7 linked regions of the Macaca fascicularis genome follow. The main gene of each other region encodes a partner of the protein of the gene in region 5 in a complex. Links are inferred from orthologs where the notes say so. Each region holds a gene or a part of one and is shown on either strand. Other genes may lie near its edges.

Region 1 (3,976 bases), on a different chromosome or scaffold from region 5:
CCGCCTTCCGGATTCAAGCGATTCTCGTGCCCAAGCCTACCGAGTAGCTGGGATTACAGGCACGCACCACCACGTCCGGCTAATTTTTGTATTTTTACTAGAGACGGGGTTTCACCATGTTGGCCCAGGCTGGTCTCGAACTCCTCACCTCAGGTGATCTCCCCACCCCCCCACCTCGGCTTTAATGATTTTTAATAAACGCTCAGGACCCTCTGACAAATGTCATGTTACTTGTAAAGATTTAGAAACTGTGATTCTACGAGAGGGGGTTATGAAAACAGAATTGCTCTGGAAAGGCTCTTCCATAGAGTTCAAAGACACTTTACACAGCCTGGTATTAAGATGCCCAAGCCAAGCCTAGAGGAAACAGCGAAGGGTCTTCCCCCTAAGTCGGTGGTATTGTAAGTGGGAAGGACCACAGAAACGGGCGGAAACAGTTAAAAGAACTGACACCACGAAAGAGGCCGCAACAAATGTTTGAAAAATAAGATCAGAAGAGAGGTGGAGAGAGGGTGAGCCGTAGCTGCGGGCGCCGGGGTAATGCCGGTGGACGCAAAGAAGTGAACCCGCACCCGTGGGCAGGGGCATGGGGCGCGGGCACGGTGGCGGGGCGGGCAGGGGGTAGGAAACAAAGGTCGGCTCCCGCGCAGAAGTCAATAAAGGGGGGAAAGCAGACGAGGAAAAGCCTGCAAAAGGTGGCAGGGGTGGTGACGGCGGTGGCGGTGGCGGCGGCGGCGGGGACGGCGCGCGGTGCCTGGCGGGGTCAGGGCCGGGGTCGCCCGCGGGCCAGGCCGGGGATCCGGCAGAGACTGGAACCCGCTAGGCCGCGCCGAGGGGCAGGGCTGGCGACTGAGGGGCCGCGGAGGGGACCGGCCGAGGAACGACGGCGAGGGGTTGTGGGGGGCAGGGCGCGCAGGGAGGCCAGGACAGGGGCGGGCGGGTCGGCGGGAGTCGCGGCCGCGGGAACCGAGGCAGGGAAGGGCGGTCAGCTTCCCGCCCCCGCTCCCGGCCGCCGCGGCGTGAGGGGAAAGGCCGGCGGGCGGCGGGCAGCGCCGCGAGGAGGAGGAGCCTGCGGCCCCGCCCCGCGGGAGCGAGGGAAGGAGAAAGGCTCACAGGGAAGAAGGAGGGAGGGAAGGGGGCGGCCGGCCGGGCCTGCGCCCGAGCGAGCGGCGAGCCGAGGGGGAAGGGGCCCGGAAGGAGGCGAGCGCGGCCGCGACGCCGGCAGTCGGACGCCCGCTCGTGCCGGCCTGCCGCAGCCGCCGCCGCCTTCCCCGTGCGCCGAGCCTGGCGTCCCGAGCGGCCGCGAAGGCCGGAACACGGCGGTCGGGCGCGGGGCGAGCGGCGCCGGTAGCCGGAGGCCCGGCCAGGCGTCCTGCGCGAGGCACGGCGGGCTCCTGCCTGCGAGATTAGGCGAGGGGCGGAAAGGGAGGCAAGGAGAGGCCGAGAGGAAACAGGCGATCGGATTTTCCAGGAGGCTGGTGTGAAGGAAAAACCCACCTCGAACTCAAATCCACAATCATAATCCGAATAAGGGAGCCGTCTTTCTGACCGGGCGATAGAGAGGGAGAGAAAAGGGGGAACGGGAGGAAGCGAAATCTCCGTTTCATGGAGGCTGAGGCAAGAGAAAATTTCGGAGCTTGGATGTGGAGGAGCCCAACAGCAGAACTAACTCAGGAAATTGTCTTTCAGAAAAAGGCCGAACGTAGGCTGGGTCTGAGAATCAGGCTGGGGTAGGTGGAGGAACCTGCAAGTTTAAAGGAAAAAGAAAAGGAGAGAATATTTTCAGAGATTATCTCTGGTTTGTTAATCATTACTACCATCTTAAAGGTAAAAAGCATTGCATTTCAGGTGTTCTTTGAATTTTTTTTTTTTTTTTTTTGGTGCAATTGGCTCATTTAAGAATTTCAAAACATTTAATGTAAAAGCTTTTCTTTTTCTTTTTCTTTTTTTAAGGAAGTCCATAAATTTTGGTTCCCAGGGTTGCACTGGACTTGGAAGGAGTGCTGTTGTGTACATACTATTGTATGGTTTTATTTATTTTTTTACTGTGCAAATCAGCTGGAAGATTTTTTCCAAGTGCCATTTCGGATTTATTAATCCTTTTTTTTCCTTTCCTCAAAGATATTTGCTGTTGTCATATTAAGCATTGGAGACTAGAAAATTATTTTCCCCCTTTGAGCTAGAGGGTCTCTTGCCAACAGAAGGACAGCTGAGAAAACTGGATTTAAAGGATGGTTTTATCTGTATTTTGCAGTTAACAGTGATATTTTGAAGGCACATTTTTCTGTGATTCATTTTTTTTAGCCCATAGTGCTAACCTTGAGGAGGTTTGTGGCTGGGTTTTTGGTTTCTGAGAAGGTCACAGTTTTTCCTCTTTTCCTTTTTTTTTTTCTTTTCTTTTTTTTTTTTTTTTTTTTAAAGCTGGGGAGGGGAAGAGGGGCTGAGAAAGGAAATCATGTTCACTGGTAGAAGTAGAGTGGAGCATCAGTTACCAGGGTCCTGAGAGCTGGAGGAGAAAGGATTCAGTCTTCAAGTTGGGAGGCCCTCCTCTCACCTTGCTCAAAAATTGGAAGCGATTCAATCCTGATCAACACACCAAAGCTACAGGATTCTGGAACCGTGGAGACACCGAGAAACCATGAGTGTAAGGTTGCCCCAGAGTATAGACAGGTAGGTTTGCTAATGATTTGATTTTTCAACATTGACTAAAAGACTGGGAGGGGTGGTGTTGCATTTTAATAAATGGTTGAAAATAAGGGTCTAGGTGGGCTTTGGGAATTGGGACTAGGAGCATTAGTCTCTGGGGACCGTCAACCTGTGTGGTTATGTGCTTTCTGTGTGTCTATGTTAAAAACACAGCTCTTAATTCAGCGTCTTTTGAATATAAGCAATAAACAGTGAAGCCAGGAGAGGAGAAGGAGGAGGATGTGTTTCCAGTGGCTTTTGACTTTTGCCAGGGTGGAGGCTGAATTTGAGTCCCCCCAACTTGCCAGCTCAAGTGGGCACAAGCCAGTCTTGTGAGCTCCTAGGGGTGCACTAGGGGGACTGGCTTTAGGTGTTGGAGCTGCTGGGAGAAGGGCCCTGGCAGGGGCGTGGGCCTCCACCAGGCTGGTTGGTATGGAATGGTGGGGCTTGGGGACAGGGTGGATCCCATTTCTAGAAATGAAGAGGATGTTCTTGGCCTGAATGATGGGACAGAAACATCCTTTGCACCCATGCAGGTCTGGATTTTTACCAGTAGCTGACATGGCCCCAAAATGCATAGGTCACGTTAGAATTTCCTCTCCTCCAAGCTTAGAGTTTAAATTGAGACCTGCCAACCGGCCGATGCTCTAGGTTTAATCTTCCAAGCTGTTCTTAATAAGCTGGACTCTGCAAAATGGGCCTTCCCTCTGCCTGGAGCCAGAAGAAATTGTTTTGGGCTCCTAGGCCTGCTGGGCAGCAGCACTGGCCCTCAGAGTCTGAACACATGACACCCCTTCCCCCAAGAGTCTGCCCAGCCACCTCTATCACTGGTAATGTTACAGTGTGGTTGCAATTCTTGCCTGCAAATGATTGGTACAACTTTGTAAGGTGTCTCTCTTTTCCTTCCCTCCCCTACCCCTCCTCAACCCTTCTCCCCATGAGAACCTTGCTATGGGGGTGTGTTTTGTGGGCACTGCACACATTCTAACTAGATAGATGGGTGGTTGAAGGACTGAACAAGCAAATGAAAGGACAGGGCCTGGAAAAAATATTATTGGAGAGATAGGGAAGAATATTTGCAAGGGAGCAATTGCTCCCTCCATGCCCAGTCCACCTTTGGTTATCCATGCTAATAATAATTTCCTTTTGGCTGTGGAATGTGGCCTAAAATGCATATAATCTCTCTCTCCCAAGCACTAATCTCTGTATTGCCTCAGAGTCCCATTTAGATTAGTTCAGCAATCCCTAGATGGGAACTGACTTGGCAGTGGAGAAGAGGAGGCAGACAGCC
Region 2 (3,945 bases), on a different chromosome or scaffold from region 5:
TAAATAAATATAAACAAGTAAATCAATCAGTAAGGACACAGATTCACACCCTGAGCTGCTGACCAGGACGCTTACCAGTAATGACTTCACAGCAGCCCCGCCTGCCAAGTGCTGGCCAGGTCTCGGTCTCTCTCTCCCATGAACACCCTCTTAGTCCCATTTTTCCTAGGTCAGAACCGAGGCTCAGAGAGGCGAAGGCACTGGGCCCAGGACACACAGCAAGGAAGTGTCAGCGTCGGAATTTAAGCCCAGGCTCACCAAATACCACCCTCACTCAGTCAGGCCCCACCCCATCCCCAGCAGGCAGAGGGAGGACACAGCCAAGAGCGGGGTCAGCTCAACTGGGGAAGTCCAGGCAGAGAGGAAAGGTGGCCTCCCTCGGCCCCACCTCCAGCAGCTGAGGTCTGTAATGCAGAGAGGGAGGGAGGCTGGGCTCCTGGGTTCTCCTCCCCTGAGTGACTCACTTCTTCCCAGGGCATACAGGTCACCTGAGGGCCACCAAGGCAAACCCAGGACTCAGGGGCCTGGCCTGGCCTATGGAGAACCCCTGCTCCTCTGCTGCCCACCATGGAGCGGAGACCTCAGACCCAGAGGACCTGCCTCCCAGAATCCCCATCTTGCCAGAGCAGCCAGGGACCTAGACCCCCACATCCGGAGATTTCAATGCCTTGGGCGTTTCCGGAATCTGGACAGGACATCCGTTTGCAGGACACAGAACAGACAGGCACACGTTGGGACAGATAGAGGGACAGGGCGGCAGGCCCAAGCAACCATGAGAGAGGGATGACCAGGAGGAGGGAAGAGACTAAGGAGGAGATGGGAAGGGGGGACCAGGGCGTGGGTCCAGCCTCACTGCAGGAATCACAGCCTGTCTGGGTCATGTGTGGGACGCGCCAAGCGCATGCATGCGCCCGGGGATTCCTACACAGCCCTCCCTGGGCCGGGGGTGGAGGCAGGGACCCCGGCCCATCCCGGCCCTGAGGTCTGACCTTGTGTGATCGGCAACACCAGATACGCCCAGCTCCTCGGCAAGGCCGGCAGGCCATCAGCAGGACTGGGGAGGTGGGAGGGACCGGGGGTTACGGGGGAGACACAGAGGGGCAGGGGGCAGGTGCAGAAGGAGACGAGAACCCAGTTACACAACAGCCACAGGACGATGAACTGGATGGTGAGGTGCAAATGGGGGCACCGAGGCACAGACATTTCTCAGATTTGGGTCACTTGAACCAAAGAAGGTTGGCAGTCACGCTGGCCCTGCTTGTCACAGACGGGGAAGATGAGTCCAGGTCAGTGATACCAACCAGGTGGCACGGGGGAATCTGGCTGGGCAGAAGGCTGGTGCCAGTCACGTGTGTGTGTTAGGAGGGTGGGGGTGACCCAGCCCTGCCCAGCCACCATGCAAAAAAGTAGGATTCTATATATGGGAGCATCCCTGGCCTGTTGACTGAGGCACTCCCCACCCGGGAGAAGGTTCCACCTGACAGTCCAAGAGTAGGAGCGGGGGTCCCCAGTCCCCCGACCTAATGCAGTGACTCGGGTACTTCCGCCAACAGGTGCCAATCTGGGTGGCGTCTGGAACACTATAAAGCTGTCTAGAGGCGGGGGTGGCTGGAGCTTTGTTATGCGGGGGAAGGGCACGGGCCGGGCCCGGCGGCCTCCTCCCCTCCCACGGCACTGCGCCAGGCACCTGCCCCAGGTGGAGCGGCACCTGCCGGGCACCCAACCCTGGGGAGGGGGATGAGTTTGGGGGCGGACGAGAGGCACCGGGACTCCCAGCCAGCCACAGACACCCGAAGTAGAGCCTCCGCCGCGCCCCTTCTAGTTCTCTGGGAGAGGCCGAGTTTGGGGGTGCAGCGGGGGGTGCCTCCGAGATTGCCCCCAAACCAGCCCCGTCCACATCGCCACCTGCCGAGAAGGGGGCCTCGCTGGCTCCACAGTCCCGGCCCAGGGAGGGGGCGCCGGGCGCTCCGGAGGTCCCCGCCCTAGCCATCGCCACCCGAGTCCCGTTCGGGGGGCTGGGGGGCTCCCCCGGGAGCGCGAGGGCGGGGTCCCCTGGAGCCGTCCGGTCGCCCCGGGACTCCAGACGCAGGTGCGCCTACCTGCAAGGCGTCGCTGGCCATGTCCTCCTGCCGCCCGCCAGGGGTCCCCGCGCGGAGGGAGGGGCGGCCAGAGGAGCGCGCGTGCGCCCCGGGCGTGGCGGGGAGGGGGCGGGCGCGGCGCGACCCTCCCCGGCCCGCGGCCCGCTCCGGCCTGCTAGGCTCCCGCCTCGCCTGCCCAGGCCGCCGCGTCCCCGCGCCGCGCCCTCCAGCCCCAGCGGCCGCCGGGCCCGGTCACGTGACCCCGGAGGTCGGCGCCCGGGGAGGGGGCGGGGCCGAGGGGGAGGGGCTCCCAGAGGCCCCCGGGGCTGCGGGGTCCCGCCCGCCCGCCCCCTCAGTCTCCCGAGCTCGGAGCACCCCGATCGGCTCCCCACCTTTCCTCTTTCCGGGTCCTGCGACGACCGCACGCTGCCGAGAGGTCCCCCATTGGAGCGCGCGGGAACCCGAGGAGAACGGTTCCCCGCGTTCAAGCCGAGAGCGGCGGAGGCCTTTGGGCCTCCCAGAACCCCTGAAAAAAAAAAAATAACCCCCCCACCCCACCCCATCCCTGTGCATTTGCAAGCTCGGGACGCCTGCATCTGTGGTCCCCTATTCAAGGGCATGGAAGTTTCCCCGTTACCTGGAGACAAGCTCTGGGCAGATCTGCATTCAAATGCCAGCGCTTTACGCCTTGGGGAAGCCAAATCCTTCCAGGCACCTCATCTGTGAAATGGGAATGATGCGCTCACCTCCTAGGTGTTGGTAAAATTCAATGAGACAGTGCAGGCCAAGAGCTGAGAACACTCTAGACGCTCCATAAGTGTTAGCTGCTGTCACTTTTAATGTTATCGTAATTGTTTGTTGTTTTGCTGTTTTTGGACGGAGTTTCGCTCTATTGCCCATCCTGGAGTGCAGTGGTGCGATCTCGGCTCACTGCAACCTCTGCCCCCCGGGTTCAAGCGATTCTTCTGCCTCAGCCTCCTGAGTAGCTAGGATTACAGATGCCCGCCATCATGCCCGGCTAATTTTTATATTTTTAGTAGAGATGAGGTTTCATCATGTTGGCCAGGCTGGTCTCAAACTCCTGATCAGGTGATCCGCCCGCCTCGGTCTCCTAAAGTGCTGGGATTACACAGGCTTGAGCCACTGCGCCTGACCTCTATTATCGTTATTGTTATTAAAAGAGGTTTGAATCCCAACTCGCTGTTCATCCTGGGAACCCCTGTGGCCTCTGAGTCTCAGTTTTCCACACAATAAAATGGGCACCGCCTTCTTTTTCGGGGCTGCTGCATGCAGATGGCGCTCCATAAATGCAGACTCGTGCCCATGCGGAGAGTGGAGGCCTCTGAGGAATTTCTAGGGGATCTCCGGGGTCTGCAGAGCGTGCAGCTTTGTTTACGGCTGCCGTCGGACCCTCACTCCTTCGGAAACCAGGCGAGGGAGCCAAACCTTGGTCTCCGGGGCTCCGGCGGGGAGCGCTCCCTGGCGGCGGTGTCTGCACATTGGCGCCCTTTGGGACCCGAGGAAGCGCCGTGGGCTGTGGGTACCTTAGCTACGCGTGGCTCTGCGTGGTTTCAGTCGTCCCGGAAACCAGGGCGCGATGTTTTCTCTCTTATTTTTTCATCTGAGCAACTCTTTGGGGGATATTAACAACAGAAAGAGAGAAGGAGGAGAATATTCTGATCTAGAATCCATCCAGCCAGGCATGGTAGCGCATGCCTGTAGTCCCAGCTACCAGGAGGCTGAGGCAGGAGGATCGCTTGAGCTCAAGAGGCCGAGAATGCATCACTGTGGGGAGCAATCATGATGCCCCTGCACTCCAGCCTGGGTGACAGAGCGAGACCTTGTCTAAAAAAAAGAAAGAAAAAAA
Region 3 (3,500 bases), on a different chromosome or scaffold from region 5:
GTGAGATTCTATCTCAAAACAAAAACAAACCCCAAAATCCTAACATTGCCTGACCTTGGGCAATTCCCAACCCCTCTCTGTGCCTCAGCTTCCCTGTGTGTAAGCCAGGGAAGGAGTGGTAACAGGAAGGACCGCATATGATCGTCAGTATTATAATTCACATATTATTAAGATGGATTCATTGCTATTTTAATGGCACGAAGAACATATTCATTACAATTAAGATGTTGAAGGCTCATTCCGGTTCCGTCTGGCTCCAGCTGACTGGTTAAGTGTCTTCTGGAACACCTTTCATTTTTCCCAGCCTCCACTCCTTATCTGTAAACCAAGATAATAAGAGCAAGAATTAAACAAGATGAGGAAGGGGTCCTCCAGCAGCCGGTGCTCAGCTGTTTTCTGGGGAGGCGTCATGTGCTGAGCTGGGCCCAGCCCTGGGGACCTCTCCAGTGTGAGCCCCCTGACCCTCCTGGCCCCCTGTGTAGATCTTTCAGCACATCATCCGGCGGGAGGTGACGGATGAGGACACACGGCACCTGTCCCGCAAGTTCAAGGACTGGGCCTACGGGCCAGTATATTCCTCGCTTTATGACCTCTCCTCCCTGGACACATGTGGGGAAGAGGCCTCCGTGCTGGAGATCCTGGTGTACAACAGCAAGATTGAGGTGGGCTCCAGGAGAGGGCATGGGGTGCGAGGAAGGAGGGGCAGGGCTGGGAGCAGGGATGGGGCCCTGGGGCTGGGCTAGGGGAGAGAGCCTCAGCCTCTAGTGCCCAACGTGGTGGATCTGTTGGCTGACTGCAAGAGAAGGTGCCAATTAAGTGCCCAGAACAGTGTCTGGCATGTGAGGAAATGAGCAAGACTTGTGGGAAGGTGGACTTTTGGAGCAGGTAGGACTGGGTTGGGATCCTGGCTCTGTAACTTACATGCTGTGTGTCTCAGGACAAGTGGCCCCACCTCTCTGGGTCTCAGCTTCCTCATTTGTAACCTAGGGATAAGGATCATACATATCCCATGGGGCTGTTGGGAGGACCAAAGAGGTTAATTTTAGAATGGCCTGGTACAGAGTAAAGATTATGTCAGCTTTTACCATTCGTGGTTGTTATATGAACTTTTGAAAGCTCTTTTTTTCAGCGAGGCGTGGTGGGTTATGCCTGTAATTCCAGCATTTTGGGGAGCCAAGGTGGGCGGATTGCTTGAAGCCAGGAGTTTGACACCAGCCTGGGCAATATGGCGAAACCCCGTCTCTACAAAAATAAAAATAAAAATAAAAGTTAGCTGGGCGTGGTGGTGCGAGCCTGTAGTCCCAGCTACTTGGGAGGCTGAGGTGGGAGGATCACCTGAGCCTGGGGAGGTCGAGGCTTCAGTGAGCTGAGATCATGCCACTGCACTCCAGCCTGGGTGACAGAGGGAGACCCTGTCTCAAAAAACAAAACAAAACAAAACAAGCTTTTTATTTTTCTACTTAGCAATATTTTGTGAACATCATTCTGTAGTTTTAAATATTCTTTGGTAATATTGTCGCTGCATGTAAATGTACCATATTCAAATGAACCGTTCTGTTATTGTTGGTCGCTTGGGTTTGTTTCTGCCTGTAACTATCAGGAATAACACTACAAGAGCATCTCTGTGGCTGTGTTATTGCACAAATCATGATTATGGAGAAACTCAAGTCATTAAAGGGCTAGGAATCTATACAAAGGGAGCAGAAAATGCTGGGGACTGGGTGCAGGTGGTCACCCTTCTAACCCTGCCCTGTGGCTTACTGGTCTGTGAGCTTGGCTTCCTTGCAAGACCTCATTTCTCTTATTTTTTTAATTAGTGGCCACCTTGATTTAAATTAGTAGTGGCAGCAGGTTTAGCATCTCAGGTGCAAACTGATTGATTGGTAGTGTCTACCCAGGGAACTGTATGAATACAATTGTGCAGGGCTCAATTATTGATGGCTGCCCTGGGTTCAGAATTGGAGAATTGTGGTAAGTCAATCATTTATCATCTTTGGGCAAAAATTTCCCAATCTTTCTCTCTGAATCAGAATTTCTGAGAATGGAGGCCAGGATTTATACTTGCGGCAAGCTACATAGATGATTTTGCGGCCAACAGCTTGGTACTATCCACAGATTGGAGTTTGGGAACCATGAGAATAAATGTCCTTTTTTCTTTTCTGAGACGGAGTCTCGCTCTTGTCGCCCAGGCTGGAGTGCAGTGGCACAATCTAGGCTCACTGCAATCTCCGCCTCCCAGGTTCAAGTGATTCTCCTGCCTCCGCCTCAGGAGTAGCTGGGATTACAGGTGCCCGCCACCACGCCCGGCTAATTTTTGTAGTTTTAGTAGAGTCAGGGTTTCACCACGTTGGATAGGCTGGTCTTGAACTCCTGACATCAGGTGATCTGCCTGTCTCGGACTCCCAAAGTGCTGGGATTACAGGCGTGAGCCACCGTGCCCTGCCTGAAAATAAATGTCTTTTAAGGGACTTTCCAGTTCTGAGTTCTGTGACGCTAGAATAGGGCGGAAAGGCACATTGAGGCAGAATTGGGCAGAATCTCAAATGGTGAGTGCGGGAGCTTGGGGCTGATGTTCAGTATCTGTCCAGTTCCCCATGAATCCTTGAACGCAGCTGAGGAATGGATGGAAAGAGAAAGCGCTATCGGGGTGGAGGGTGGGGGAAAGCACAGCCGGGGCAGCCTGCCAGGACCCCCCACCTCAGGAAGGCAGCCCCTGACCACCCTGCCTCTCACAGAACCGCCACGAGATGCTGGCTGTGGAGCCCATCAATGAACTGCTGCGGGACAAGTGGCGCAAGTTCGGGGCCGTGTCCTTCTACATCAACGTGGTCTCCTACCTATGCGCCATGGTCATCTTCACCCTCACCGCCTACTACCAGCCGCTGGAGGGCACAGTGAGTGCCCAGGGACCGGGCAGGGGCTGGGGCAGGCACTGGCTGAGCCATGCAGGATGGGGGCACAACCTCGTCCCTCTGGGTCCCCTGTAGGAGGAACTGGAGAAGGTTTAGGAACAGGTTGGGGAGGCGCCCTCCAACATGCAGGGGTGGCCCTGAGCTGGGAGGAGGGGGACTCAGGAGCAAGAGAGTGAAGGAGGAGGCTACATGGGATCCAGATGTTTTGGGTCTGGGGGAACATCTGGATTGGGGGCCAGATGTTGGAGGGGCCGGGTGACGACCTGTGTGCCCTTGCTGCTCCCCAGCCACCGTACCCTTACCGCACCACGGTGGACTACCTGCGGCTGGCTGGCGAGGTCATTACGCTCTTCACTGGGGTCCTGTTCTTCTTCACCAACGTGAGTGCCTGGCCCCCGTGCCCCCCACTCTGCCTGCTCTCCTCTTCCTCTTCTCTTCCTGCACCTCTTTTCTCTCCTTCTTCTCTTCTCTCTCCTCCAAATCGTCCTTCTCCTTTCCTTCCTCCTTTTATTTTCCCATTTCTCTTCTACCTCCTCCAATCCCATGTTCTCTATCTCTGCTTTTTTCTCCTTTTCTAACAGGAAAGAG
Region 4 (4,112 bases), on a different chromosome or scaffold from region 5:
AATTTGATGCTCTCATTTAATAGATCAGGAAAGACACAGGGTGAAGCGGCTTGTCCAAGGTTGCCCACCAGTGGCAGCTAGCATATTTATTTATTACGGACCCAGCATGTATGTTCCACTGTTCTCACATGTCTCATTTAACATCTGCATTCTACAGATAAGGGGATGAGGCTAAATAGGTGACACAAGGTCCTGTAACTAGTGACTTGGCAGAGGCAGCCAAGATCTTCCAGCTCTAACATGCCCTTTCTACTAGCCCACAGGAGGCAAAGAGGGCTCTCCGTTACCTCAGGAAGTCCGACGTCAGCCCCAGCTGTCCTCTGCCCCAGGGAAAGCAGTGAAGGTGAGTCAGCCACTGCCCCGCCCCAGAAGCTGTTATCTGGGAAGAGAGTGGGGGAGCTGGTCAAATATACTGCCGCCTGGTATCCACAACAAGCCATGAGCCCCGGATATGCTGAGTTCCTTGGTCACCCTTGTTCCTGGTGCTGACACTAGGGCCCTTCTCAGTGCAGCTGCCCTTGTAACCGCTCCACCCTGTACTTTCATCACAAAAAAATACAATCTTTCCTCCTCCATTGCTGTAACCTGCCTCTTAAAGGGACAAACAATCAGGTTTTTTTTATTGTTGTTTGTTTGTTTGTTTTGAGATGGAATCTTGCTCTGTTGCCCAGGCTGGATTACAGTGGCGTGATTTCGGCTGGCTGTAACCTCTGCATCCCGGGTTCAAGCGATTTTCCTGCCTCAGCCTCCCCAGTAGCTAGGATTACAGGTGCACACCACCACCCCCGGCTAATTTTTATATTTTTAGTAGAAACGGGGTTTCTCCATGTTGGCCAAGCTGGTCTCTAACTCCCGACCTCAAGTGATCAGCCCGCCTCGGCCTCCCAAAGTGCTGGGATTATAGGCATGACCCACCATGCCCGGCCAACAATCAGTTGTGAAGCCTAATTTGAGAGGGCAAAGGACGCCACTGACCCCGCTGAGGACCCTGCTGTGAAGTGGGTTTCCAGCTGCAGCTGTTTCTTTCCTGGAGATGTCCGCTTTCTCCCCTCCCCAGTTTCTCCCTGACCCTGTTGGAGGAAGGATGAACCTTCCCTGGACTGTCAGGTTCCCGTATAGTCTCTCCTCAGGGTGACCCCAGCATGGCTTCTTGTACCTGTTTCCACACAAGTCTGAATTCTGTAGCCGCCCTGTGTTCAGGGAATGCTGAAGACAGAGGGACCCAGGAGTCCCTGGGATCAGTAGTGGCACTGAAAGAGTTAAGGGCCTGGGCACAGCACTGTTTAGGGTGTTTGAAGTAGGGCGGGGAAGGGAAGGGCTGCAGTGGATGAAGAGGCAGCTGGTCTGTACTGGAATGAGTTCCCCCTTATGCAAACTTCTGGACCATGAGCAGCTCCCTTAAAAGGACCAAGAGAGAGGGGACCCCCACCAAGGTGCTGGACTGGTTCTTAAAGGGGCCACCTGAAGCAGGACTTTTTCCCACACTGAAGTCACCAACTGAGGGCAGAAACAGGTCTCCCATCTTTGGGATATCTCCCAGGTCTGGTGAGTTTCCCTCTCTCCTTTCCTGGGTCCTTGCCCTCAGACCCTCTCTTGCCCCACCTGTCTGGCATGGCACCCAGAACACATGCCAGGAAACTGGCAGGAGGTAGAAGAGGACTGGTTGGTCTTGACCCTTTTCTTCTCTATCCCCCACAAATAAAGGGTTAGTCTGGGTCCCAAGCCCCTGGTAGAATAAGCATACAGCTACAGGTCCAGCAGAACGGAAGAGGGCAGGGTCCCTAAGTTCAGTTTACTAACCAATTAAAAAAAAAAAAAAAAAGGCGGTCACACTTGGAAGCCCAGAGCAGCAAAATTCCTGACTGACTTATGAACCTAGTACATCAAGGACATGGGGATGATTTAGGGAGAGTGTCTGAGATGCCTGTGGCTGACTTAGTAGAGGGGTGTGTAGTTAGATTAGGGGGCTGGGGACGCCTTGAAATTCCAGAACTAAGTACAGATGATAATGCCTCTCAGGAGACAACCCGGAAGCTGATACGACAGATGGCTTTTGCCCATACTGGCCTCTGCCCCACTAAGGGATGGTAGCCAGGGCCCACCATTGTATTTGTGCATAGACTCTTCTGGGTCCTCTTCTCTGTGCCTGACACTTAAAAGGTGCTAAAATAATCTTTGCTGAATGAATGGATCCTCTATATCTTTTACTTTGCTTTCATTTTTGGAATTGTGGCACTACTCTCTGACAGTGGACAGGAAAGTCAGAGAAGGAGAATGAGTTCCAGGACACCAGCGTTCAGCCAAGTCAGGCAGATGGGTGAAGCAGGAAGGTATCAGAGACTTGGGTGCTCCTGTCTTGGAATGGGGTGTCTAGGGAGCACATGGGAAGGAATTGTAGCTCCTGGAGCCTTCTTTATCTGAGGCGAAGAGAAGCTCTGCTTTAGCCTTCTTTGCAGGGCACTGTTGGATTAATGGTTTACTTTCTACAGGAGAAGAAATGTTAGGTTAAATTTTGAACCATCAAAGAGTTTTTGTGACCCTGTGTCCCACCCCCAGGGCCAGGAGATTTGGAGGAGAGCCAGTACAACATGTCATTTGGCCTCTCCTTTCCTCCTCAGCCTTTATTATCCGATTCTCTTGGGTCTTCTCCAATATTGGCCACCTCGCTAGATTTAGGATCCCAGAGCCAGACTCAAAGCTTCTCAGACTGCGAAAGGGCCAGCCAGCATTGCCTCCAAGCAACAGCACCTGGCTGTTTGGTTGCTGTCAGCAGTTCCTCCCCCATGTTCGGTGTTCGCTGGCAGCAAACATAACCAGAGACCTGCCTGTGCCCCATCACCTCATTCAGGGGTCTAAGCTAACACAGGGAGCAGAAAGGATACACTGAACTTCTTTGGGACCCCTATCTCATTTCTTTTGGAAGCTGCTTCGTTTCTTTGGCTGGGGTCAGGGAGGTAGGAATGAGGTGGGTAAAAATAATGTTGCCAGATTTCTTTCAAAGCTAGCCACTTGGCCTGGTGTGGTGACTCATGCCTGTAATCCCAGCACTTTGGGAGGCTGAAGTGGGTAGATCACCTGAAGTAAGGAGTTCAAGACCAGCCTGGGCAATATTGTGAAACCCCCATCTCTACAAAAATACAAAAATTAGCCAGGCACAATGGCGGGTGCCTGTAATGTCAGCTACTTGGGAAGCTGAGGTGGGAGAATTGCTTGAACCTAGGAGGCGGAGGTTGCAGTGAGCCGAGATCGCGCCATTGCACTCCAGCCTGCCTGGTGACAGAGCAAGACTATCTCAAAAAAAAAAAAAAAAAAAAAAAAGGAAAAAAAAAGCTAGCCACTTGATAGGCTGGGCACAGTGGCTCAGGTCTATAATTTCATCTCAGCACTTTGGGAGGCCAAGATGGGTGGATCACTTGAGGTCAGGAGTTCAAGACCAGCCTGGTCAACATGGTGAAACACTGTCTCTACTAAAATTACAAAAATTAGCCAGGCGTGGTGGTGCACGCCTGTAATCCCAGCTACTCAGGAGGCTGAGGCAGGAGAATCACTTGAACCTGGGAGGCAGAGGTTGCAGTGAGCCGAGATCGTGCCACTACACTCTAGCCTGGGCAACAGAGCGAGGCCGTGTCTCAGAAAAAAAAAAAAAGCTAGCCACTTGCTTTCTTTGAGAGCTTGTTTTCTGGTTTCAGAAAAGAATTCAGGCTCCATAATGTGATGGATCAGCTTTGAAAACTCATCTCCGCCTCCTATCAGCTCTGTGACCCCCAGCCAGTTACTTAAGCTCTCTATGCAGCCTGTTTCTTCATATGTAAAATAGGGATAATAATGTCTGTTTCAAGAAATATTTGTGAGGATGGCACAAAATGGATGTTGGCACTCATTATCTCTCTCTATATAGGCCTCAGATGACATTTAGGAAGTAGGTATGTTGGCTGGGTGCAGTGGCTCACACCTGTAATCCCAGCACTTTGGGAGGCCAAGGTGGGAGGGTCACCTGAAGTTAGGAGTTTGAGACCAGCCTGACCAACACAGTGAAACTCCCTCTCTACTAAAAATGCAAAACTTAGCTGGGTGTGGTGGTGGGTGCCTGTAATCCCACCTACTTGGGAGGC
Region 5 (3,500 bases):
CACATGTAATCCCTGCACTTTGGAAGGCAAAAACAGGCAGATCACTTGAGGTCAGGAGTTCAAGACCAGCCTGGCCAACATGGTGAAACCCCATCTCTACTTCAAACAAACAAACAAACAAACAAACAAAACTAGCCAGGCATGGTGGAGGGCGCCTGTAAGTCCCAGCTACTCGGGAGTCTGAGGCAGAAGAATCGCTTGAACCCCGGACGCGGAGGTTGCAGTGAGCTGAGATTGCACCAATGCACTCCAGCCTGGGTGACAGAATGAGACTCCATATCAAAAAAAAGAAAGTTCCTACATCTAAAGCCACTGACTACTTGCTACTGATGAAATGGTTCATTCCCAGGCCAGCAGTCCTTACGGGCATAGCACTACCTCATAAAAAACATTCCATCTCACAGAACTAGTGAACTATTTTAGGGATCTTCTGTGAAGATCTCAATAAATGAGGGTCAGAGGGCCAGAGAGGGGCTTCTGAGCCTCTAAAACAACCTGGCCTGTGAAGGTTTCTGCTGGGCTCCCCAAACCTCCAACCTTGGGGCCATAGTTCAAGAATAATACAAGACAGTCCTGCCCCAGATCATGCCTGCTTCATCTTGGCTAGCTCCCGCCTTGTGTGCTCATCATTCCGAAGATCCTTCTTATTCCCAACCAGGATGATGGGCACGTTGGGACAGAAATGCTTGACTTCCGGGGTCCACTTTTCTGGGATGTTTTCTGAAAAAAAAAATGTAGAGAATTTGGGGATACATACAATTCTATCTTGAAGACTTTCCAAGAACCTCAGTGAAATTCAGAGACACTTTCTTTGTGGCTTCAGAAGAATGCTAGACATTTAATGAAACCCACTAGTTTCAAAACCATAAAAAAGGGCAAATATAATCCCTTTCCTTTAAACAGAGAACCACCAGCTTTTTCTCAGTATAGCCAAGAATGGTGCTGAGCATCTCTGTAGGTGGGGCCCAAGGAAGGGCTCTGGAGGAGCAAAAGATCCACAACACAAGGTAGCTTCACGGGGGTACTTCCTGCCCCACAAAGGCAGGCACTTTACAGGACATCCGTTACTGCTGGTAGATGATTCTGACATAGCTTACAGAAGGGGTGCCCATTCTAGGGCAGCAGCTGACCCAGGGTCTATATGCTCCTTTTCTAACTTGTTCATGGACTCTCAGCATAACTTCTACCCTATAGGTTTACTGGTATTTCAAATGGCTCAAGAGTGACTTTTGGCCAGGCGCAGTGGCTCACGCCTGCAATCCCAGCACTTTGGGACGCCGAGGCAGGCAGATCACGAGGTCAGGAGATCAAGACCATCCTGGCTAACACGGTGAAACCCCATGTCTACTAAAAACACAAAAAATTAGCTGGGCGTGGTGGTGGGTGCCTGTAGTCCCAGCTACTCGGGAGGCTGAGGCAGGAGAATGCCATGAACCCGGGAGGCAGAGTTTGCAGTGAGCCGAGATCGCGCCACTGCACTACTGGGTGGCAGAGCAAGACTCCATCTCAAAAAAAAAAAAGAATGACTTTTGAAAATAACCAAACGAGGCTGGGTGTGGTGACTCGCACTTGTAATCCCAGCACTTTTGAGAGGCTAAGGCAAGTAGACAGCTTGGGCCTAGGAGCTCAAGAACAGCCTGTGCAACATGGCTAAACCCCATCTCCGGCCAGCACAGTGGCTCACGTCTGTAAGCCCAGCACTTTGGGAGGCTGAGGTGGGTGGATCACCAGAGGTCAGGAGTTCGAGATCAGCCTGGCCAACATGGCAAAACCTCATCTCTACTAAAACTACAAAAATTAGCCAGGCGCGGTGGCACGCACCTGTAGTCTCAGTTACTCGGGAGGCTGAGGCAGGAGAATCATTTGAACCCAGGAGGTGGAGGTTGTGGTGAGTCGAGATCTTGCCACTATACTCACTACAGCCTGGGCAACAGAGTGAGACTCTGTCTCAAAAAAATCAAGAACCCCATCTCTACAAAAACATACAAATACTGAGTTTACTCTCAGGCGGGCAGATTGCCTGAGGTCAGGAGTTCGAGACCAGTCTGGCCAACATGGTGAAACCCCATCTCTATTAAAAATACAAAAAAATTGCTGGGCGCGGTGCCTCACGCCTGTAATCCCAGCACTTTGGGAGGCCAGGGCAGGCGGACCACTTGAGGTCGGGAGTTGGAGACCAGCATGACCAACATGGAGAAACCCCATCTCTTCTAAAAATACAGAATTAACCGGACTTGGTGTCTTGCATGCCTACAATCCCAGCTACTCAGGAGGCTGAGGCTGGAGAATCGCTTGAACCTGGGAGGCAGAGGTTGTGGTGAGCCGAGATCGTGCCACTGCACTCCAGCCTGGGCAACAAGAGCGAAACTCCGTCTCAAACAAAACAAAACAAAACAAAAAAACTAACCGCGCATGGCGGTGCGTTCCTGTAATCCCAGCTACTGGGAGGCTGAGGCAGGGGAATTCCTTGAACCAGGGAGGTGGAGGTTGCAGTGAGCCAAGATCGTGCCACTGCCCTCCAGCCTGGGCGACAAAGCAAGACTCCCTCTCAAAAAAAGAAGAAAAAAAAAAAAAGAATACTGACTTCTGAATTATGTGGCTGTGTTTAGGCTAATGAAATGATCACATTCAAGCTTCTATCAGTTAGTTAAGACACTCCAGAAAAAGGCTAAGCCAGGGCAACCAAAAAAAAGAAAAAAAGTCTTTCCCCAAAAGAGATGGCTTTACATTTGGAACTCATCTGGTATACTTTTTTTTTTTTTTTTTTTTTTTTTTTGGGAGATAGTCTGGAGTGCGGTGGCCCTATCTTAGCTCACTGCAACTTCCGCTTCCCAGGCTCAAGTGATTCTCCCGCCTCAGCCCCTGGAGCAGCTGGGATTACAGGCGCACACTACCACACCCAGCTAGTTATTGTATTTTAGTAGAGACAGGGGTTTACCATGTTGCCTAGGCTGGTCTAGAACTCCTGACCTCAAGTGATCTGCCAGCCTCAGCCTCCCAAAGTGCTAGGATTATAGGCATCAGCCATCGCGCCTGGCCTTAGTTTATTCATCTTTGTATTTGGAATTCATCTAGTTTACTCATCTAGTTTACAAGGCAGTTACATTTTAAAATAACATTTAATATTATTTAGTAATAATATTATTTTTGAGATGGAGTCTTGCTCTGTTGCTTAGTCTGGAATGCAGTGCCATAATCTCGGTTCACTGCAATCTCCACCTACAAGGTTCAAACCATTCTCCTGCCTCAGCCTCCAAGCACCTGGGACTACAGGTGTGTGCCACCATGCCTGGCTAATTTTTTTTAACTTTCAGTAAAGACAGGGTTTTGCCATGTTGGCCAGGCTGTTCTCGAACTCCTGACCCTCAGGTGATCTACCCGTCTGGGCCTCCCAAAGTGCAGGGATTATAGGTGTGAGCCACCGTGCCCTGCCTAGGTGGATACATTTTAAATAAAGTAGCCATGGGAAACCTAGGCTGAAAGGGACCCAAGGCCCACAC
Region 6 (3,500 bases), on a different chromosome or scaffold from region 5:
CACAAGCAAAATCAGATTTAGCTAATCGGCATTCTGGAATACTAAAGAAATAAAGGAATACTGAACTGATTTATATACAATTTATTTTTAAAATTACTAAAATCAACTTTCCAGACACAGAAAGCTAAATAAGACTTAAGTAGGCAGTATAATCCTGAAATAAGCATCATCAAGGTCTCTCCCTACTATGTAAATTGAAATAATTTCACTCCACATTCCTCAATTTCTGCTGATTTTGAATTTTACCTAATGACCCTTAATTCTCAACTAATAGTATATATCTCAAAAGGGCAAATTATGGTTTGTTATTTCAAAACTGAGATTAAAATACTATATATATATATAAAAGTTACTCAGAGATAAATTATAATAAAAACATAAACTATTTCTTCACTATTTGTCATTAATAACCACGTACCTCAAGACACATACTAAATTACCAATAAATTTCTGGCCACACCCCATCAAAATCAGGTAACAGCAAGAATTAGAACCTAAGTTACCTTATTCCTACAAAAATGCTCAAACCTTTCTCTCTATTTACTTTCCCTATGCCTGAAATTTACTTCTCACCTGTGTCCAGCCCTCCTTCCCCTCAAAAAGTATGTTCCACACAAATAAAATTTTTAAAAGAACTATAAAAACCATATCCAACATTTAATAAAACTTTATATTCAAACTTTCAGTAAGAGCAATGCCCATTATTGTATAGATTGGTATCCCCATATATATCTGAAGTTTTCCCTTAGTTATTTTTATTAAATCTTGATAAAAGGACCCAAAGGCCAAAGATACAAACTTTGCATTGTTATGCATGATTTACTTGTTTCTATCCTGTACAATTCAATCTAGGTGAGGTTCATAATTTAACACACAATCTAGAAAAATCACCACCATACCTGGTTTCTGAATCGTACTGCAGACAAAATCTGCTTTTAGAGGCAAGCGGATTTCTGACAAAGTAACTGATCCTTTGGATGGCATAAATTCACTTTGGGATACAGGACTAGCCTTATTCTTCCTCTGAGGTCCTTCGTTCTTCAATTTATTCAATTCGTCAATCAAAAGTGTTCTCTTCTCAGCTATGTGAAACACGCAATATTCCAAATATTAAAATTGTAACTGTTTCTAATGAGAGCAAATTCAAAAAAGTGTACTGATGTGGAAACTGTACATAACACATGAAGACGAAATTAGTAACACTATCTTTATAAAACAGACGATAGGTGGATGGGGAAAACCTTGATTGCTCATCTATTTACCAAGTCCTTATGATTTAATAAATCAACTTTCAGCTAGTTTTCATGTATGGTATCATCTGTCCACCCCAACATGCCCCATCATCACCACATATATGCACACAGCAAAATTCAGTTGTTTTAGCTATTTATTGATAACGGAAGGGAGGGAGAGACAGAGAGAGAGAGAGAATGTATGGGTACATGTGTATATATAGAGATTCATTCATTCATCCATTCATTCATTCAATCTGCACAACTGCATTTCTTCGAATGCATTTCAGTTGCTTTTACCTTTCATGCAAACTACAATTTGTTTTACATAGAGTTCTTAAACCTTATAAAAACAAGAACAAAAAACAGATCCACTGGAACAGATGACTAGGAACAGCCCTTTCTCTAAACTTAAAGATTTCTAAATATCAAAATGAGTTTTCCCTGATTAGAAATTTGTTGGAATTCTTTCAGGTACATCACACGTACTTGCAATTAGAAGAAGTCTTTCTGCTTCAGCTTCTTCTAGGGATCCTTTTCCATGCTCTTCATCAACACAGCAGTTAAGAGCCTGGCTAGCTTGATAGATCACTGTCTGTTGCATATTTATTTCGTTATTGAGTTCCTAGGAAAACCAATGAGAGGAGAAAAAATACACATATTTTAAATCATCATTTTCACTTTAAACTTTAATTCTAACTAACTTGATTGGATAGTTTCTAGAATTTCCAGACGGTAAAGTCAAAACGTTAGTTTCACTGCTCAAGTTTCTAGACTATGCACCAAAAACATTTAGCATGTTATAATAATTAAGCTATAAATATTATTTCTTATGAAAAAACTTCCAATTCATATTTATTAAAGTTAAAATTGGGGTTATGTCCAACAAAATAGAAATTTATAAAGTATTTGATTCATTTTATTTACATCACAATTACACTGCTTTTTAAATATGCTTCCTTAGGGCCAGGCATGGTAGCTCACACCTGTAATCCCAGCACTTTGGGAGTCCAAAGCACAAGAATCACTTGAGCCCAGGAGTGTGAGATCAGTCTGGACAACACGGTGACACTCCATCTCTATTTTCTTTCATAATTAAAATTTTTTAAAAAGCCAGGCATGGTGGCTTATGCCTGTAATCCTAGCACTTTGGGAGGCTGAGGTGGGTGGATCACTTAAGGTCAAGAGTTCGAGTCTGGCCTGACCAACATAGTGAAACCCCATCTCTACTAAAAATACAAAAATTAGCCGGGTGTGGGGGTGCATGGCTGTAATCCCAGCTACTTGGGAGGCTGAGGCAGAAGAATTGCTTGAACCCAGGAGGCAGAGGTTGCAGTCAGCCAAGACTGCGCCATTACAATCCAACATGGGCAACAAAGAGCAAAGCGGTGTGTCAAAAAAAAAAAAAAAAAAAAAAAGCTTCTTAGCATGAAAAAACCTTGAAGTGCATAACAAATTTCCCACTACATCATTACCCAATTAATAGTTATACTTTAAGGATATTTATGAAAAACCTGTTTAAAAATAAATATTTCAGCAATATCAAAGAAGTTTCCAACTTTTCAAAATGAGTACCTTTCCAAAAATAAACTGAATTCAAATGTGATTTACTGAGCTTCTGTGCATCAGACACTATTCTGGCCACTCAGGGTTCAGAGATGAGTAAGGCTGGGCCCTTGTCCTCACAAAGCTCACAGCCTAGTGCAAGAAACATTCCAAATCCCCTTTCCACAGAAGTACATACCTGCATTTTCTGTTTGATATTAACTTGACAAGGAAAGGCATTATTTTTTTCATCCAGTTTTGAAGTAACATCTTCCTTCCGAACAATCACCTGCTTTATTGATGGACGTTCTGTTTCTTTGAATCTTTGAGATCTATATGCATCAATGCTTCAGGAGGTAAGTTACATTCTATTAGAAATCTAGCAACACACTGAGCACTATCCTTTATTGAATATATCAGCAGAATTTGACACTGATATTGAACATGTCAGCAGAACATTTCACAACAGAATGGAACTCTCATTTGGTGAAAGAGAGGCTAACAAAAGTTATTCCAAACTTTTATACAGATGAGTTATTAATAACATTATAATTACAAATTATAACATGACTTAATGTCAATCTAAACCATGACCCTTAGTGAGTGAATGCCTTCCAGAAATGTTCTTACCTGTAAAGAAGATCACGATCTTCAGAACCAAGGCTATCACCAGATTCAGCCCGAGGGACACGAGTTCTTTGGAATTTTCCTGGTTTTGGACTT
Region 7 (4,222 bases), on a different chromosome or scaffold from region 5:
AAAAATGGTAATAATAATAAAAAAAAGACAAGCAGGGTTTAGGAAATTTATTTTAGGGCAACTGCTAGATTTATTTTAAGCCCTACGCTTAAAAATAAATCTAATTCACATGACTTAAAATGCTGGAGCCAAGAAAAGTCACTGCAAAGGCATTTAATGAGATACCTGGTTTGTCTAGTTGTCTTTGCTATGATTTTTGTATAAACCAAAAACGTCCTATCTTGATATATACAGTGGATTTTACATCTAAATATTTCTTGTATTTAATAAATTAAAAATAGAAATAGACATTTTTTTCAAACCATATAAGATTTTCCTAACCTCTGACTCACATCGTAAGGTTGGTGGACTGTTCAGATGCTGTACGATGCTTCTTACCCCGATGCTTTTTGGTTCATCTGTAGCATTTTCCATCATGGGGTAAAAGATCCACATTTTCTATTTCTAGTGATCCTTAATTTGATTTCTGAGCAAAAATAAAGTTTGATTAGAAATACATTAAGGTAGATTTCCTGCTGAAACCAGTGAAGAACATAACTTTATCAGCGGGGGTGAGTGACAAATCTTTCACCTTTCCTCACATCACAGTCAGTGAAGCAACGAACTAGGAGAAATGCCTATTATTCTCATGTCCTACGTCAGTTCTGATAAAAATCACACTTACGTTTCACTGAATGTTTTGACATTGAAACGACAGCATTACATGTCCAGGAGAGAACTACAGTGGGGGTGTTAATGAAGTAAGAGAACTAATACGAATGACTTAAAAATATTGTTTTTTTTCTAAGAGATTATTTTCCTTTAAAAAAATTAAATTGAGCTTGACTTCTATTGACTGTACCTTCCGGAGTCAATATTTTATGGCTCCCCTGACACACACGCCTGGCGTGGGAGGGTTGAGCGCTTCGAAACTTTCCCAGTGAATTGTAAATGGGTTCAAGGCTAGGGCTCCAGAGGGCTATCCATGGAGTACCACCGAAAACCAAACGCCGCTAAATGCTGGTACCTGCCCACGAAAAGGCTTCCTGCCTAAAGAAGAACGTATCACCCCATCCTGACAGTAACAAGAACAAGCACTATCTCCTCGTCAGAAGTCTCTGGACTTGCTACAACCCAGAGGAAACAGAGCTGGGGCATCTGCCGGGACAGCGACCAGAAGCAGCCAGAGCTCCGCCTCTGTCCGGACCTCCAAGGCGGCTCCAGAGCCCTGCAAGGCTCCTCAGAGCCGGCCAAGGCTCGGACCCTACCGGCAGCTGCTTACCCCACGTCTGCTCCTCCCGGCGGTCCGCCTTCTCCGCCCGCCTGCCCGCAAGGCCCCGCCCACCTCACCGCCCCGCCCCGCCCTGCGGAGGCGACACCGTGCGCGCGCGCGCGCGGGGTCCCGGCTGGTTCCCCTTCCGAGCGTCCGCGCCCCGCATGCGCAGTCTGCGCCGGCGGTCTCCGTTTGTTTGAACAGGAAGGCGGACATATTAGTCCCTCTCGGCCCCCCTCGCCCCACCCCCCCAGGCATTCGCCGCCGCGACTCGCCCTTTCCCCGGCTGGGACCGCAGCCCCTCCCAGGAGCTCCCCCATCAGCAGCCGCCGGGACCCAACTATCGTCTTCCTCTTCGCCCGCTCTCCAGCCTTTCCTCTGCTAAGTCTCCATCGGGCATCGACCTCGCCCTGCCCCACCGGACACCGTAGCAGCAGCCCCAGCAGCGACGGGACAAAATGGGAGAGTGAGGCTGTCCCGCGGGGACCAGCTCGTGGCCGAGACTGATCGGTGCGTCGGGCCGGGCCGAGTAGAGCCGGGGACGCGGGGCTAGACCGTCTACAGCGCCTCTGAGCGGAGCGGGCCCGGCCCGTGGCCCGAGCGGCGGCCGCAGCTGGCACAGCTCCTCACCCGCCCTTCGCTTTCGCCTTTCCTCTTCTCCCTCCCTTGTTGCCCCGAGGGAGTCTCCACCCTGCTTTTCTTTCTCTCCCCGCTCCTGCCCATCTCGGGACGGGGACCCCTCCATGGCGACGGCGGCCGGGGCCCGCTAGGCTGAAGCACCTCGTCGGAGCGACGAGGCTGGTGGCGACGGCGCTGTCGGCTGTCGTGAGGGGCTGCCGGGTGGGATGCGACTTTGGGCGTCCGAGCGGCTGTGGGTCGCTGTTGCCCCCGGCCCGGGGTCTGGAGAGCGGAGGTCCCCTCAGTGAGGGGAAGAAGGGGGAACCGGGCGCACCTGGTGACCCTGAGGTTCCGGCTCCTCCGCCCTGCGGCTGCGAACCCACCGCGGAGGAAGTTGGTTGAAATTTCTTTCCGCTGCTGGTGCTGGTACGAGGGCATTGTCACAGCAGCAGCAACATGTCGACTGGGGACAGTTTTGAGACTCGATTTGAAAAAATCGACAACCTGCTGCGGGATCCCAAATCGGAAGTGAATTCGGATTGTTTGCTGGTGAGTAGCGCTGTTCTCTTTTGCTCGTCTGGGGTTTTGCATGTCTTTCCTTCCTCTTGCATTACTCTGGTTCGCTGCAAAAGAAAGTCTCAGGTGTGCATAATCGTCTTGGAAAACGCTGGATTTCTGTTTCCCGAAGAATCTTGGAGTACCATTAACATCTCATGGCATGGTCCTATTTGCCATTTGACTGGCTCTGTACTAACTACTCTCTGAACTTTTAATTCTGACTCAGTTCATGAGTACCCGAAAGATACTTACAAACTGCTATTGCAGGCATCCTATAAAAAGTTATTACGTCAGAGTTACTGCAACGTATGTAGTTTGTTGAATGGCGATCGTAGTAATACTAATCTTTTTGATCAGTTTGACAGTTAAATTGAAAAGACTTTGCTTTTTTTTTTTTTTTTTTTGCGATTTAGCTCCTAGGCGTTTAGTTTTTAGCCTTGAAAGTGACAACGGATAATTGATATTGAGCAAGTGATTTTTGAGCCAAAATTTCATAGGTGATTTGAGTTTGAAGGAACTTTTGGCTAAACTATTGTAAAAACCCAAGATAATTGGTCTTAGGCCATTACAATGTTAACTTATTATATTATTGGTTACAAAAGTACTGACCATACAGTTATTGTAACTGTCTTTTTGGTGGTGTGGCACTTAACATTGTCACTTTTAAAACATTCTAAAGAGGGTTTTATGACATGAAAAACCAAAATCCCATTTTAAAAATAGTTAAGTGGTTGATAACCTACAGTTCTCTGTAAATAATTGGAATTCTTAGGTTTGATACATTTCCTCTGTAAACGAGTTTCTGAACAACTAAGGGTTATATAGTATTTCTCTTTTAGTCCAAACAAAACCACAAAATCTCTACAAATAAGGTTTCAGGGAGTACGTATATGGACGGGATTTCACAAAGTCTTCGGTGAAATAATGTTAGAGATGCTCAATTTTGGGAATTAAGATTAAGGAAACAAAATAATACCACTCAAAGAAATAATACAATTCAAAAATCCCATCTTGAATCAAAGGAAAATTAATGTAGATTGTTTAAAATTAACGTGCATATTTTTCCACGTGTATGGACTTTACAAGAAGCTTCCCAAAGCTTTCAGAATTATTCTAAGCATCCCTGACCAGGAAATAAGAGTATTGTGGGTTATTAGAAATGTCTTATCACATTATGGATGCTCTTCATATTGAGAAATAGTAAAGAAGGTTGATGCACAATGGATTTTAAAACATTTTATTAAACGAGATAAGTGGAAGGAATTAGAATATATCTGTCTAGTAAGGATTTCTATAACTTCTAAGAAGTCTGATTTATCTTTTAATATTTATCCAGTTTTCATGTATTTTTGAGTTTATTTTGCTTTTTGATCTCCTTATTACATGAGATGGTGTTATAGGGAGGGTTTTGTAGCTTTCTTTTTTTATTTTAATCATCTTCCAGCCTCTTGCTATAGCTTCATTTGTTGGGGACCTTTATTTAGATGTGGAGGATACAAGGAAATATAAGTCATGGACTCTTTCCCCGAGAGTCCAATCTATTTAATGGAAGACAAAACCTTATCTCACATATATACACAGAAACAAAGCCAAACACTTCACAGATTGAGAAATGTGATAAATTCCAGATGATTGTTTAGATAATGTATGATCTTGGAAATTGAGAGGGAGAAGTCACTGTGAATTGAGAGAGCCAAAGTATGTTTCATGATGGATGGATAGGATTTAGATAGAGGGTACTCAGGAGGAGTGGAGGATAACGTGAATAGAGGATAGAGACATGACTGGCTATGA

What was found.
Region 1: the proteins of RHOA (region 5) and ARHGEF11 are in contact, whole or in part, in a crystal structure (PDB 1XCG), measured with the Homo sapiens proteins. The link is inferred for Macaca fascicularis from reciprocal best matches to the Homo sapiens genes RHOA and ARHGEF11. Residues at the interface, in NP_001300870.1 of Homo sapiens: Arg5, Thr19, Val33, Tyr34, Pro36, Thr37, Val38, Glu40, Asn41, Val43, Asp45, Glu54, Ala56, Trp58, Asp59, Ala61, Gly62, Gln63, Tyr66, Asp67, Arg68, Leu69, Arg70, Leu72, Ser73, Pro75, Asp76, Pro96, Glu97, Pro101; in NP_055599.1 of Homo sapiens: Asn715, Gln717, His718, Glu737, Val738, Glu741, Thr745, Ser748, Ser837, Lys844, Arg867, Arg868, Leu869, Gln870, Arg872, Asp873, Ile876, Met879, Gln880, Arg881, Thr883, Lys884, Leu887, Leu888, Ser891, Arg914, Leu917, Lys918, Val920, Asn921.
Region 2: the proteins of RHOA (region 5) and PKN1 are in contact, whole or in part, in a crystal structure (PDB 1CXZ), measured with the Homo sapiens proteins. The link is inferred for Macaca fascicularis from reciprocal best matches to the Homo sapiens genes RHOA and PKN1. Residues at the interface, in NP_001300870.1 of Homo sapiens: Met1, Ala2, Phe25, Ser26, Lys27, Asp28, Gln29, Val43, Asp45, Ile46, Glu47, Gln52, Glu54, Thr163, Lys164, Arg168, Glu169; in NP_002732.3 of Homo sapiens: Glu40, Arg43, Arg44, Ile46, Arg47, Leu50, Lys51, Lys53, Glu54, Glu57, Asn58, Arg60, Arg61, Leu77, Arg78, Ser81, Leu84, Asp85, His88.
Region 3: the proteins of RHOA (region 5) and TRPV4 are in contact, whole or in part, in a cryo-EM structure (PDB 9IQX), measured with the Homo sapiens proteins. The link is inferred for Macaca fascicularis from reciprocal best matches to the Homo sapiens genes RHOA and TRPV4. Residues at the interface, in NP_001300870.1 of Homo sapiens: Met1, Ala2, Ala3, Arg5, Tyr34, Pro36, Val38, Phe39, Glu40, Asn41, Tyr42, Val43, Glu54, Trp58, Glu64, Asp65, Arg68, Leu69, Leu72, Pro75, Asp76; in NP_067638.3 of Homo sapiens: Lys177, Arg179, Thr181, Glu183, Glu184, Arg186, Pro188, Arg224, Glu225, Asn228, Ser229, Pro230, Arg232, Arg237, Asp263, His265, Ala266, Gln267, Arg269, Asp313, Arg315, Arg316.
Region 4: the proteins of RHOA (region 5) and ARHGEF2 are in contact, whole or in part, in a crystal structure (PDB 7G9I), measured with the Homo sapiens proteins. The link is inferred for Macaca fascicularis from reciprocal best matches to the Homo sapiens genes RHOA and ARHGEF2. Residues at the interface, in NP_001300870.1 of Homo sapiens: Arg5, Lys7, Lys27, Gln29, Val33, Tyr34, Val35, Pro36, Thr37, Val38, Phe39, Glu40, Asn41, Tyr42, Val43, Asp45, Glu54, Trp58, Asp59, Ala61, Gly62, Gln63, Tyr66, Asp67, Arg68, Leu69, Leu72, Ser73, Pro75, Asp76; in NP_001155855.1 of Homo sapiens: Asp215, Ser216, Ser218, Leu219, Asp238, Val239, Glu242, Thr246, His249, Cys342, His345, Ser346, Leu349, Lys353, Lys376, Arg377, Gln381, Glu382, Leu385, Leu386, Thr388, Gln389, Ile391, Thr392, Lys393, Leu396, Leu397, Arg400, Lys423, Leu426.
Region 6: the proteins of RHOA (region 5) and ANLN are in contact, whole or in part, in a crystal structure (PDB 4XOI), measured with the Homo sapiens proteins. The link is inferred for Macaca fascicularis from reciprocal best matches to the Homo sapiens genes RHOA and ANLN. Residues at the interface, in NP_001300870.1 of Homo sapiens: Tyr34, Val35, Pro36, Thr37, Val38, Phe39, Glu40, Asn41, Trp58, Asp65, Tyr66, Arg68, Leu69, Pro71, Leu72, Pro75, Asp76; in NP_061155.2 of Homo sapiens: Met729, Thr732, Val733, Tyr735, Gln736, Ala737, Gln739, Ala740, Cys743, Cys744, Glu748, His749, Gly750, Ser753, Glu755, Glu758, Ala759, Leu762.
Region 7: the proteins of RHOA (region 5) and ROCK1 are in contact, whole or in part, in a crystal structure (PDB 1S1C), measured with the Homo sapiens proteins. The link is inferred for Macaca fascicularis from reciprocal best matches to the Homo sapiens genes RHOA and ROCK1. Residues at the interface, in NP_001300870.1 of Homo sapiens: Val38, Phe39, Asp65, Tyr66, Arg68, Leu69, Leu72, Pro75; in NP_005397.1 of Homo sapiens: Lys999, Val1003, Asn1004, Leu1006, Ala1007, Met1010, Asn1011, Arg1012.

The regions. Positions count from the first base shown.
Region 1 is NC_088375.1:104,028,736-104,032,711, forward strand, and holds the start of ARHGEF11 (rho guanine nucleotide exchange factor 11), read left to right. Parts: upstream 1-1,176; 5' UTR 1,177-2,638; coding exon 2,639-2,670; intron 2,671-3,976. UniProt on the Homo sapiens protein: May play a role in the regulation of RhoA GTPase by guanine nucleotide-binding alpha-12 (GNA12) and alpha-13 (GNA13). Acts as guanine nucleotide exchange factor (GEF) for RhoA GTPase and may act as GTPase-activating protein (GAP) for GNA12 and GNA13.
Region 2 is NC_088393.1:14,864,576-14,868,520, reverse strand, and holds the start of PKN1 (serine/threonine-protein kinase N1), read right to left. Parts: upstream 2,801-3,945; 5' UTR 2,699-2,800; coding exon 2,471-2,698; intron 2,320-2,470; exon of another isoform or gene 2,121-2,319; coding exon of another isoform or gene 2,100-2,120; intron 1,906-2,099; exon of another isoform or gene 76-1,905; intron 1-75. UniProt on the Homo sapiens protein: PKC-related serine/threonine-protein kinase involved in various processes such as regulation of the intermediate filaments of the actin cytoskeleton, cell migration, tumor cell invasion and transcription regulation.
Region 3 is NC_088385.1:116,664,565-116,668,064, reverse strand, and holds part of TRPV4 (transient receptor potential cation channel subfamily V member 4), read left to right. Parts: intron 1-164; exon of another isoform or gene 165-318; intron 319-482; coding exon 483-662; intron 663-921; exon of another isoform or gene 922-983; intron 984-1,085; exon of another isoform or gene 1,086-1,208; intron 1,209-2,735; coding exon 2,736-2,894; intron 2,895-3,199; coding exon 3,200-3,292; intron 3,293-3,500. UniProt on the Homo sapiens protein: Non-selective calcium permeant cation channel involved in osmotic sensitivity and mechanosensitivity. Activation by exposure to hypotonicity within the physiological range exhibits an outward rectification.
Region 4 is NC_088375.1:105,084,526-105,088,637, forward strand, and holds the start of ARHGEF2 (rho guanine nucleotide exchange factor 2), read left to right. Parts: upstream 1-1,312; 5' UTR 1,313-1,545; intron 1,546-4,112. UniProt on the Homo sapiens protein: Activates Rho-GTPases by promoting the exchange of GDP for GTP.
Region 5 is NC_088376.1:112,362,189-112,365,688, forward strand, and holds part of RHOA (transforming protein RhoA), read right to left. Parts: intron 721-3,500; coding exon 590-720; intron 1-589. UniProt on the Homo sapiens protein: Small GTPase which cycles between an active GTP-bound and an inactive GDP-bound state.
Region 6 is NC_088377.1:93,874,680-93,878,179, forward strand, and holds part of ANLN (anillin), read right to left. Parts: coding exon 3,408-3,500; intron 3,125-3,407; coding exon 2,977-3,124; intron 1,858-2,976; coding exon 1,722-1,857; intron 1,083-1,721; coding exon 900-1,082; intron 1-899. UniProt on the Homo sapiens protein: Required for cytokinesis. Essential for the structural integrity of the cleavage furrow and for completion of cleavage furrow ingression. Plays a role in bleb assembly during metaphase and anaphase of mitosis.
Region 7 is NC_088392.1:68,652,323-68,656,544, forward strand, and holds the start of ROCK1 (rho-associated protein kinase 1), read left to right. Parts: upstream 1-1,422; 5' UTR 1,423-2,326; coding exon 2,327-2,419; intron 2,420-4,222. UniProt on the Homo sapiens protein: Protein kinase which is a key regulator of the actin cytoskeleton and cell polarity.